Linked DNA regions of Cricetulus griseus. The main gene of each other region encodes a partner of the protein of the gene in region 2 in a complex. Links are inferred from orthologs where the notes say so. Each region holds a gene or a part of one and is shown on either strand. Other genes may lie near its edges.

Region 1 (4,088 bases), on a different chromosome or scaffold from region 2:
AGGCTGTCTGGGAAGTAGCTCTTGTAGACCAGGCTGGTCTCAAACTCACAGAGATCCACCTGCCTCTGCCTCCCGAGTGCTGGGATTAAAGGTGTGTGCCACCAACCTCCCCCCTTCCCCCGGCAAGGCTTGTTTTTAAAAAATTAGAAAGTAGGGGCTAGAGAGATGGCTCATAGGTTCAGAGCTCTGGCTGCTCTTTCAGAGGTCCTGAGTTCAATTCCCAGCAACCACATGGTGCCCTCTTCTGGTGTGCAGATATACATGGAAGCAGAATGTGTATACATAATAAAAAAAACAAAATCCTTTAAAAAATTAGAAAGTGAAAAGCAGGTCTGGGGAGCTCAGATTCTCCTTGAGGAAAATGGGTTGAAGATGGATCATTCATTAACAGTGAAACAAGGCACCTGTAAAATTTTTTCTCTAACTATGACCCACCAAGAAAACTAAAGTGGGATCAAGGACCAAAATAGTGTTTCTCAAAGTTCTTCAAACCAGCATCAGTGTCTCCTAGGAGCTTGTTAGAAATGCATTAGTGGATACCCATGCCACACCCGCTGAATGAGAAATACATGGGACCCAGAAATCTGCAGTTCAGTCTCGAAGCCCTGTGAATGATTCTGGTGTGTCCTAAGGCTGGAGAGTGAGTTTTCAGTCAGTGATTTTTATCTGTTCTGTTCTCTATTCTCAGAACCACTCAGACACTCTATAAATGTGGAACAATTTAATACACACAGTCAGGCACTGTTCTAAATATTTTAATTCTCAGTCAGTTACAGATCTAACTATGTCAGGTGCTATAAATGTGCTTTACATTTTCAGAGCTGGGGATCAAACCCAAAGCTGCTTTCATGCTGGGCAAATGGCATACCACTAAGCTAAACATCCAGCCATCCCTTTGCTTGCTTGTTTCTTTTGTTTTTTTGTTTGTTTGTTTGTTTTTTGTTTTTGTTTTTGTTTAGTTTTTAGAAACAGGGTTTCTCTGTGTAGCTTTGGAGCCTATCCTGGTACTCGCTCTGGAGACCAGGCTGACCTCAAACTCACAGAGCTCTGCCTGCCTCTGTGGTTTTGGTTTTTTGACACAGGATTTCTTTGTGTAACAGTCCCGGATGTCCTGGAACTCACTTTGTAGACCAGGCTGGATTTAAAGGTGTGTGCCATCACCACCCAGCTTGCTTGTTTGTTTTTAAAATGGAATTTCACATACCTTAAACCTTGCTGTGTAGCCAACGATAGCCTTGAACTTCTGATCCTCTTGCCTCTACCTCCCAATTGCTAAGACTATACGTACCCATCATTGTGCTCAATTTGTATGACGTTAAGTAACAAACCAAAGGCTTCATCGATGCTAGGCTAGCACTCTACCAACTGAGCTACATCTCTAGCCACTCTCATCCTTTAAACATTTTACTACATTTATTTATTGGGGGGGGGGGGACACCACACACATGTGCCTCAATGCACATGTGGAGAGGTCAGAGGACAACTTAAGTGAGTCAGTTATCTCCTCCCATCATGTGTGTCCTAGCAATTTAATTCAGGACATCAGGCTTTGAAGCAAGCACTGAGCTTCACACACTGAGCAATCTCACCTCCACCCTTCCCTTCTTTAAATTTTATTTCTGAGACAGAATCTCACTAAATTAGCCAGCGTAGCCTTGAACTCACACTGTAGCCTAGGCAAGCCTTGAACTCTCATTCTGCTTGTTTCAACCTCCAAAGTAGCTAAGATTACAGTCTTGTACCTCCCAGGGCCCTGTTTGTCTGCACATTTTACAAAAAAGGAAACAGGCTTAGAGGCAAATGGTATCTTATCCTAGGTGCGCATAGAATATGCCTCAGCTGATTCTCTCTTCTCTACCCCTGTAGACCCTAAGGGTTTCTTCAGATGGCCCCCTTGGGCAATGGGTATGCCTGAAACACCTCCACCCCCACCCCACCGAACCCATTTCTGAATCACTTCCCACACAAAGCCACTTCCCTTTCTCACTTCCCTTGCACTGACCTCCCACACACATGCTGACCACAGGAACCTCACTTTTAGGAAAGAGGTGGGTTTTCAAGAAGGAAGATGAAGCAGTTGCCCTGATACCTTCTCCTTGACGGACTACTTGAGGAGGGCTACCCTCATTTCACCCTTCTCCAGTACCCCATTGAAGTTGATCCCATTACTATAGTCAAGATTGTGCATTTTACAGGGAAGAAAACAAGCCAGTCATGGTGTGACATGCCTGTTCAAGGCAATCCAGGTCTGCAAAGCAAATCTCAGGCCTGGTATGGCTACATTATAAAATCTCATCTCAAAAAAGGGGGGGGGGCAGGAAGCTAAGGCTGAGAATTTAAAGTGACTTGTCTAAGGTCACACACCTAGGTGGTTCTTGCTTCAGAATTTCAGGCTCCAGTGCCCTTCAGTGAGAATTTGTCTCATATGCATTAATTGAAAACTAAGAGGTTTCTGGGTGGAGTGGGGTATTAGGTGGCAAATATTGGGTGACAGAACAGGACCAAGGGAGACACAGGAAATGGAGAGGGGAGAGAAGTAGAGGAGGCAGAGGGCTCAAGGGAGAGGTCAGAGCTAAAGAGGTCATACCCTCCCAGTTCCTCCTGCTCTGGGTTCCTCTTTCCTGAGCAGATCAGCCCAGATTAAGGAAGGCTTACTCTGTAAGAGAGGACAAAGACAGTGCTCAAAATGCTTGCTGGAATGCAAGCTCCTCCGACGCTACTGCTGCTACTGCTTACCCTGCCAGCCACAGGTAAGTGGGTGGGGGCCCAGATGTCCTCCCAGGGATGCCCAGGACAACCACACCCTGATTGTTCATTCCTCTCTCCTGGTCTTACAGGTTCAGACCCTGTGTTCTGCTTCACCAAGTATGAAGAGTCCTCTGGGAAGTGCAAAGGCCTGCTTGGGGGAGATGTCAGCGTGGAAGACTGCTGTCTCAATGCTGCCTATGCCTTCCAGGAGCATGGTGGTGGTCCCTGTCAGGCATGCAGGTTCGGGGGGCACCTGGGCTGAGCCCTGTAATCTAGAACTGTACTCTGTTTCCCTGGACCTTCTAAGAGTACTCAAAACCTTGGCACTATTGCCATTTGGAGCTCTTTGTTAGGAATATGAGTTCTGAGCATTGTTGGGTATTTTATAACATACCTGACCTTCCCCTAAGTGTTTTTAACAACTCTCTCTACTGGTTAACAGTGGGAGTGGGGGTGTGTCTGACTCTTTTCACCTGTTCTTGAGGCCCTTTTTCTCCTACTGGGTTGCCTCGCCCTACCCTGATATGAGGGTTTGTGCCTAGTCTTATTGTATCTTGTTATGCTGTGTTTGGTTGGTATCCCTGGGAGGCCTGCTCCTTTCTGAAGGAAAACAGAGAAGGAGTGAATCTGGGCAGGAGTGGAAAGAGGGGAAACTATAGTTGGAATGTATTGTATGAGAGAAGAATTTTTTTTGTTTTGTTTTGTTTTGTTTTGTTTTTCGAGACAGGGTTTCTCTGTGAGCTTTGGAGCCTATCCTGGCACTCGCTCTGGAGACCAGGCTGGCCTCGAACTCACAGAGATCTGCCTGCCTCTGCCTCCCAAGTGCTGGGATTAAAGGTGTGCGCCACCAACGCCCGGCTGAGAGAAGAATTTTTAAAAAGGCAACCATATCTAGAAACTGCCAAATGTCCGCTGGTGGAGACCAAATCAGCCCTCATTGAAAAGTACTTCATTGAAAAGTCAGGGCTTCCTGAAAATATTGCAGATGGGGTGCAACTTGGATATTTTTGGTGGTAGCTCCATTCTCCTAACTTATAACAGATCATACTTGAGTGCTTATTGTATATAGATCTATCATAGGAATGGAGGACTTTGGGGAACTTCTAAGGGCAACACTCAAACCTTTCATTGTAATGACACATTCATTGTGCAATTCCTCTGTGGCAGTTTGATCTCTGAAAGCACCTCAAGTCTCCTAATCATGACTTCCAGTTTACATATGTTGAACCTTACTATACTGTAGATATATTTTATGACTGCTTACTCCAGGTAACACTGTAAGGATGATGGGTTTGAGTATCTTGGAAAGCAGCTCTGGCCCCAGTCATGCTAACAGTTGG
Region 2 (3,409 bases):
GTCATTGAGGAGATCCGAAACCTGCTGGACATTGGCAGGGATCGCAAAAATCCCCGGGAAGATTATTTGGGTGAGTGACCTGGCTGGGATCCAGCACTCTCACTCCTCAGGACGTGGGCCCTCACCCTTTCTTTGTCTGCCTCAGATGTGTATGTGTTTGGGGTCGGGCCTCTGGTGGACTCCGCGAACATCAATGCCTTGGCTTCCAAAAAGGACAACGAGCAGCATGTGTTCAAAGTCAAGGACATGGAGAGCCTGGAGGACGTTTTCTACCAGATGATTGGTAGGAAGATGCAGACGCAGGTCACTGACTCCCCTCACCCTGAAGCCCTGGCAGACTGGCTCCCCCAATCCTTTCCTCCCGCTCACCCCAGTGTCTTTCTTGTTTCCTGACGTTCTTTACTTCCTGGTCTCACAATCATTAAACTCTAAGAGTTCATTTGAACAGATGTGGAAACTGAGGCCAAGACAGGCTCAGAGGAAAGAAGGCAGCACCCAGACTGGGTCTACAGTGCTCAATCCTCAGATAGACTGGTCTTACTGGCTTTTCTCACTACGCCACAGGGGTTCCCCATCTAACACAGGGAACCACTCTTCTTCCTCCTTGTTGGAGGAAGGATCCAACGAGGATGGCTGCCAAGACTTGAGCCTTCAACATTCTTTCTCTGCCAGATGAAACCAAATCTCTGGGTCTCTGCGGCATGGTGTGGGAACACAAGAAAGGCACGGACTACCACAAGCAGCCATGGCAGGCCAAGATCTCAGTCACTGTGAGCATCCCAGCAGTGGGGACTTGTGGAGGGCGATGAAATAAATGTACACACTAGCCAGGTCTGTAGTCCCAGCTGTTCAGAAGTTGAGGCAGGGCAGAGATTCACAGCCCGCTTGGGCTATAGTGAGTTCAGGGTCGGCACCAATAACTTATGAAACTGAAATGGAAAAAGGAAGCTGGGGGAGGGGGCATGTACGGTCGGTACCCCCAGCTGCTGGAAGTTTGTGGTCAGCCAGGGCTACACAGCAAGGCAGGCAGAAACAGAGAGGGGGGAGGGCTATGGAGTGCTGTCGTAGCATGTATGGAGCCAACCTCCAGTAGTGTGCACACACACACCCACCCACCCCAAGGCTAACACGACACTGGTTCTCCTCCAGCGCCCACTGAAAGGCCACGAGAACTGCATGGGGGCCGTGGTGTCTGAGTACTTTGTGCTGACGGCAGCACACTGCTTCACAGTGGAAGATCAGAAACACTCCATCAAGGTCAACGTAGGTAAGGGTGCATCTCATCTCCAGGAAGCACCCTGTGCCTGACCTGTCCTTACACCCAAGGTCGGGGACCACAGAACTCAAGTGGTGACAGGGGCTAGAGCCAGCAGGCTGCTTATGTACATAAACCCATACAGGAGGGAAGAAGCAGGACCTGGAGATCGAAGAGGTCCTGTTTCACCCCAATTACAACATCAATGAGAAGAAGGCACAAGGAATCCCTGAGTTCTATGACTACGATGTGGCCCTCATCAAGCTCAAGACCAAGCTGAAGTATGACCAGACTCTCAGGTGAGTAGGGCCAGGTCCCTGAGGAGCTGGGGAAGGCGGGCTGGAAGCACAGGGCACTGGGCACAGGGCAGGCAGGGTATCTGCTGCCTGACTGTCCCCATCTCCTCAACAGGCCCATCTGTCTCCCCTGCACGGAGGGAACCACCCGAGCCTTACGGCTTCCTCAGACAGCCACTTGCAAGCAGCACAGTAAGGCGTGGTCTGGGGCAGGACGAGGCTGAGAGCCAAGACACAGGGGTCACAGAGGGAGTAGACTATGCTCAACACAGGGCCTAGCTCTTAAGAAGGGCCCAAGAGACAGATGATGGATGAGACATGAGAGACATGATGGGTGGGGAGACAGCATGACCCTGTCACTCATCCAGAGGAGGAGTTGCTCCCCGTGAAGGACGTCAAAGCTCTGTTCGTGTCTGAAGAAGGGAGGAAGCTGACTCGGAAGGAGGTCTACATCAAGAATGGGGACAAGGTGAGAAGGGGCTCCTAGAGAGGCCACCTAGGCCTGCTCCCTCCCAAGCAAGCTCTAGTCATCATACCCTTTCTCCCCTACAGAAAGCCAGCTGTGAGAGAGATGCTCTGAGGGCACAAGGCTATGACAAGGTCAAGGATGTGTCTGAGGTGGTCACCCCCAGGTTCCTCTGCACTGGCGGGGTGGACCCCTATGCTGACCCCAATACTTGCAAAGGTGAGGTGGCTCTCTGGCTATGGTGAAGCCCACAGGGCCCAGCCGTCTTTCCCTACAGCTTCTCTCTTCCACAGGAGATTCTGGGGGTCCTCTCATTGTTCACAAGAGGAGCCGCTTTATTCAAGTGAGTCTGTGGGGGAGACGCCCAGGGGCCACATATACCACAAAAAGGAACGCTTGATGCACGTGGCTGACTATAAGCCAAGCATCTGGCCTATGTGCACCAAGGAAGACAGTGCGAGCTGGGCCCCTGGTGTACTGTTTTGGGTCAGCTTGGCTGCTTTATGGGATTATGAAGTGTCAAGTGACCCATGGCACCCTTCACCTGCACAGGTCGGTGTCATCAGCTGGGGCGTAGTGGATGTCTGTAAAGGGCAGAGGCGGCAACAGATGGTACCTGCTCATGCCCGGGACTTCCATGTCAACCTTTTCCAGGTGCTCCCCTGGCTCAAGGAGAAACTCAAAGATGAGGATTTGGGTTTCCTATGAGGGGCTTCCGGCTGGGAGGGGCGAGGGTCAAATTAAAACAGCTGCGATAAGGACTGTATTCTTCATCTTTTGGGGGTAAGGGGTCAGGGGGTGTGCACTGGTCATGTTGCTACAAGTAACATCAACACTGACAGCCACTTTTGAAGGTTTAACCCCGATCCCAAGTGTTGAAAGACTAGAGGCTGAAGGGGGTGAGGGAACTTCTGCCCCAGGATTTTACTGAGACCAGCTTGGGGGCATACGAGGCACAAGGAATCCAGCTTCGTGTCCTAAAAGCCATCCACAGGTTTCCTACAGATCGTCACTGTACACAATCTGGGTCCTTTTGTCCCGGTGGCAGCCCTTAGGGCTGTTCTGGACAGCTGAGGAGGGAGGAAAGGGACAATTAAGATGTCAAGCAGCTCACAGGTTAGACCTGAGGTCTGAGTCTGATTATCTCCGCCCTGGCCTTGGCCTACCAGTGCTTATGCTGCCCCCTGGTGGCCAGAGTCTCACTATGGCTTAGAGAACGCAGAACCTTGTTACTGTGCGTGAGACATGTGAATGATGAAATCATGAAATACATGAAATTAAAGATGAGAACATCTCTGTGGCCCTTGCCGGTATCCTGGTCGATTCTGGTTCCTTCCTGGTGTCTGCAGGGCCTCTTGCTCTGAAAATCTGTTTCAGGCAGAGTGGGCTGTC
Region 3 (3,537 bases), on a different chromosome or scaffold from region 2:
AGACTCTGTAGCCCAAGCTGGCCTCAAACTCACAGAGATCCTCCTGTTTCTGCCTTCCAAGTGCTGGGGTTGAAAGGCCCAATCACCCAGGTGGCTTCTGATTTTATTTTATTTATTTATTTTTGTATCTTAAAAATTAATTTATTTTTTACATTTCAATCCTAGTTCCCCCTCCCTCCTCCTCTGGATCCCCCCACTTCCTCCCCACCCCACCTCCCACCTGTTCCTCAGAGAGGGGAAGGCCTCCCCTAGGAAGTCAACTAAGTCTGTCCCATCATCTCATTGAGGCAGGACCAAGGCACCTCTCCACCCCTACACCCCTGTGTCTAGGCCGAGCAAGGTGTCTCTCCATATAGAATGGGTTCCACTAAGTCAGCTTGTGCATTAGAGTTAGATCTTGGACCCACTGCCAGTGGCCTCATATATTGGCCCAGTCACACCACTGTCATCTATATTAAGGGAGTCTACTTCGGTCTTATGCAGGTTCCCCGTTTGTCAGATGGCTTCTGATTTTAATAAGGGGTTTTGACTTCCCATCTGCAACATTAGCTCACCCCCCAAATCAAGAACTCCCAAATGCTCCAACAGGGATGGTTGTGCTGTGCTCCCATGCTGCTCCCCACTCTCCTTATCCCATCCCATGGATTAGCTTATGGGGCTTGTGACCTAGGCTCAGCCAAACATTATGTTGTTTAACATGAGGATCAGATTTTACAGTGAGGGTCCCTGAACCACAATTGGGAACAGCCTGGTGAGGGGGGGAAACTGAGCCTGGATCAAGCCATACCTGAAGGCAAAATTCACAGGACATTCTTTTACATTTCCTTAGGCTACACTCTGCTGAGGTGTCAGACCCTGACAGCCACAGGGTTCAAGTGCCTACAGGCAAACAGCCTTCTCTCCAAGTTGGAGGAGGAAGTGTGGGAGGGTAAAAAGATGGGGAGATGATTGCCAACTGGCCTCCTGCTGTGGTAATTGCGACAGACACCATGCTGGAAGGACACTTACTGGGCCAGGGTGCTGGGTGCTTCAACCTCCTACCCCTCCCAAGAGGTGCCACCTTCAGGGTGGGCACTGGCCGGAGTCTCAGGCAGGAGAGAGAGGAGGTATTCCACCACCACCCCACCACCACCCCCACCCCCCTCCATGCACCCAGCGGGTTTATCTAATCCATCCCACAAGGGCCGAAACACTCAAATCTGAAAGCGCAGATTCCCAGTTCCCTAGTTGGGTCTCTGCCCACGAGGCAGGCGGAGGGCGGGAGGCACCTGCCCCATAAAATAGCCCCCTAGGAGCCGCCTGGGTCAGCGTCTGCACTCATTGGCGTCAAAAATGCACAGCTCTGTGTGGCTCGTGGCTCTAGTGGTCCTGGGAGCCGCTGTAGGTGGTGAGTGGACCAGGGAGGGACAGCTGGACACAGCCGCTGGCCGGCACACCAGGGGCCCCCTACAGCCAAACACGCTCTAAACTGAGAATCTGCAATCTGAGCCTCCTGGTCTCTGAGCTTTTATCAACAGCAAGAATCTGAATCTGAAACCTGTAGACTTTATAGACTTAAAGAACTAGAATTCACCTTGGGGCCAGTGAAAGTTTGATCCCCTGGACCCATAGAGTGGAAGAAGGGAAAGGATTCCCTGCAAGTTGCACCACCCACCTGGCTTCTGAGTTTGCAGCCCCTCGGAAGTGTATTTTACGGTGATGGGGTTCTGGTCGAGAGGTTGTGTGTGTGTCGGTGTGTCCGAGCTCTCCCAGACCACCCTAACCCTGACAGCGCGCCCTCCTCCTCAGCAGCGCAGCCCCGAGGCCGGATCCTGGGTGGCCAGGAGGCTAAGGCCCACACTTGGCCCAGCATGGCTTCGGTGCAAGTGAACGGCACACACGTGTGCGGTGGCACCCTGGTGGATGAGCAGTGGGTGCTGAGCGCCGCGCACTGCATGGACGGAGTGTGAGTAGCGAGGATGGGGGCTGAGGGGAGGGAGTGGGGCCTCGGGAAGGGGGACGTGGATCTGAGGTGGGCCCTCTTCCTGGCCCCAGGACCGGGGATGAGATTGTGCAAGTGCTCTTGGGTGCCCACTCCCTGTCGAAGTCGGAACCCTCCAAGCGGCTGTACGACGTGCAAAGAGCAGTGCGTCACCCGAGCAGCCGGCCTGACCGCATCGAGGACGACCTTCTCCTCTTGAAGGTGAGGAAGCTGGGTCCTTCCTACGCCCTGGGCTCCACTCAGAGTCTAGCCTCGACCCTTCCTTCTGCACCGCCACCTCAGTCCATTCCCCAGCCCCGCCCCGCCCCCACCACGATATTGTCCTCCTCCCACCCTTAGCTGTCCCAGAATGTGTCTCTGGGACCCTACGTGAGCCCCCTGCCCTTGCAAAGCGAGGACCGGGACGTGGCCCCTGGAACGCTCTGCGACGTAGCCGGTTGGGGCGTGGTCAGCCACGCGGGGCGCCGGCCCGACGTCCTGCAGAAGCTAACGGTGCCAATCATGGACCGGAACACCTGCAATCTGCGCGTGCATCACGACGGGGTCGTCACCCAGAACATGATTTGTACAGAGAGCAACCGCAGGGACAGCTGCAGGGTGAGTGGCACGGCCCGGGTCCTGTGGCGTGGGGGTGGAGCCCAAGGGTCTGCGGAGGTCGGCGATGGGCGTGGCTCGGGAAGGGGCGTGGCTTGCAGGAAGAGCTGCGTTCAGGAGTCCCCGGAGCTGCTTAAAAGTCAGAGTGGCTTGGCTATTGGGTGAGTATGTAACTCGTGGCCCCGCCGCACAGGGCGACTCTGGCGGCCCCCTGGTGTGCGGGAACAAGGTCGAGGGTGTGGTCGCGTGGGGCTCGCGAGTCTGCGGAAACCGCAAGAAGCCGGGCGTTTTCACCCGCTTGTCGACCTACAAAGACTGGATCGAAAATGTCATGCATGGTAACTGGACTATCTGAGGGGACCCCGAAGACACGTGTCTCACAATAAATGCATGCATCTGAGCCCTGTGTGCGTCTTTTTACTGTTTTTTCCAAGCAGGGTTTCTCTACAGCCGGAGAGCCTACTTGTCCTGGAACTCACGCTGTAGATCAGGCTAGCCTGCCTCTGCCTCCCGAGTGCCACCACCGCCCGGCCTCCCTGTGCGTCTTTATTGAGCGCCTGCTGCACACACACAGCCGGGAGGCTGAAGGCAGGTGGTTCCACGCTCGGCCACACGGAGGCGGGCGTGCTCTTTTGAGTAACGGTGGGGCGGTGCCCACTCCTACTCCACAGAGGTCCTGCTGCACCTAGGACCATCCGTCTGGGCTCGGACAGCATTGCCAAGGCACTCCGAAGTTGACATAAATACTGAAAGGGGAAATTGAGACACGGAGAAGCCACGGACAAAGGCTGAATTCCAACCCAGAGCCCATATTGGTTCACTGAGGAAGTAGTTGATGTCTGCAGCCAGCGCCACGGGGGCTGGAGAGCTTGTGGGTGACAATGGGCAGAACCCAGACCCAAATCCTGTGCCTTTCTACCCCGAGGAGGACAGGGACACTGAGAGGTGTCCTGAGAGGTGAA

The links.
Region 1: the proteins of Cfb (region 2) and Cfp are in contact, whole or in part, in a crystal structure (PDB 7NOZ), measured with the Homo sapiens proteins. The link is inferred for Cricetulus griseus from reciprocal best matches to the Homo sapiens genes CFB and CFP. Residues at the interface, in NP_001701.2 of Homo sapiens: Glu54, Gln56, Ser78, Thr316, Tyr317, Leu349, Ser351, Met394; in NP_001138724.1 of Homo sapiens: Arg329, Arg330, Asn331, Lys333, Pro341, Met420, Val421.
Region 3: the proteins of Cfb (region 2) and Cfd are in contact, whole or in part, in a crystal structure (PDB 2XWB), measured with the Homo sapiens proteins. The link is inferred for Cricetulus griseus from reciprocal best matches to the Homo sapiens genes CFB and CFD. Residues at the interface, in NP_001701.2 of Homo sapiens: Glu298, Ala301, Ser302, Ala332, Asp333, Ile469, Asp470, Glu471, Ser472, Glu518, Tyr519, Lys585, Asp758, Glu759, Asp760; in NP_001919.2 of Homo sapiens: Asn157, His158, Ala159, Gly160, Arg161, Arg162, Arg182, Thr183, Asp186, Arg200, Val228, Cys229, Gly230, Asn231, Arg232, Lys233.

Annotation. Positions count from the first base shown.
Region 1 is NC_048604.1:125,778,048-125,782,135, reverse strand, and holds the start of Cfp (properdin), read left to right. Parts: upstream 1-1,220; 5' UTR 1,221-2,013; coding exon of another isoform or gene 2,014-2,048; exon of another isoform or gene 2,049-2,271; intron 2,272-2,629; coding exon of another isoform or gene 2,630-2,686; coding exon 2,687-2,750; intron 2,751-2,837; coding exon 2,838-2,988; intron 2,989-4,088. UniProt on the Homo sapiens protein: A positive regulator of the alternate pathway (AP) of complement. It binds to and stabilizes the C3- and C5-convertase enzyme complexes. Inhibits CFI-CFH mediated degradation of Complement C3 beta chain (C3b).
Region 2 is NW_023276806.1:231,398,311-231,401,719, reverse strand, and holds the end of Cfb (complement factor B), read left to right. Parts: coding exon 1-70; intron 71-145; coding exon 146-283; intron 284-672; coding exon 673-770; intron 771-1,149; coding exon 1,150-1,267; intron 1,268-1,400; coding exon 1,401-1,554; intron 1,555-1,666; coding exon 1,667-1,743; intron 1,744-1,919; coding exon 1,920-2,020; intron 2,021-2,103; coding exon 2,104-2,236; intron 2,237-2,310; coding exon 2,311-2,360; intron 2,361-2,569; coding exon 2,570-2,725; 3' UTR 2,726-2,771; downstream 2,772-3,409. Other genes in the region: Nelfe (negative elongation factor E), read right to left, coding at 3,017-3,087.
Region 3 is NC_048598.1:100,689,726-100,693,262, forward strand, and holds Cfd (complement factor D), read left to right. Parts: upstream 1-1,332; coding exon 1,333-1,387; intron 1,388-1,788; coding exon 1,789-1,945; intron 1,946-2,034; coding exon 2,035-2,182; intron 2,183-2,320; coding exon 2,321-2,578; intron 2,579-2,768; coding exon 2,769-2,930; 3' UTR 2,931-2,964; downstream 2,965-3,537.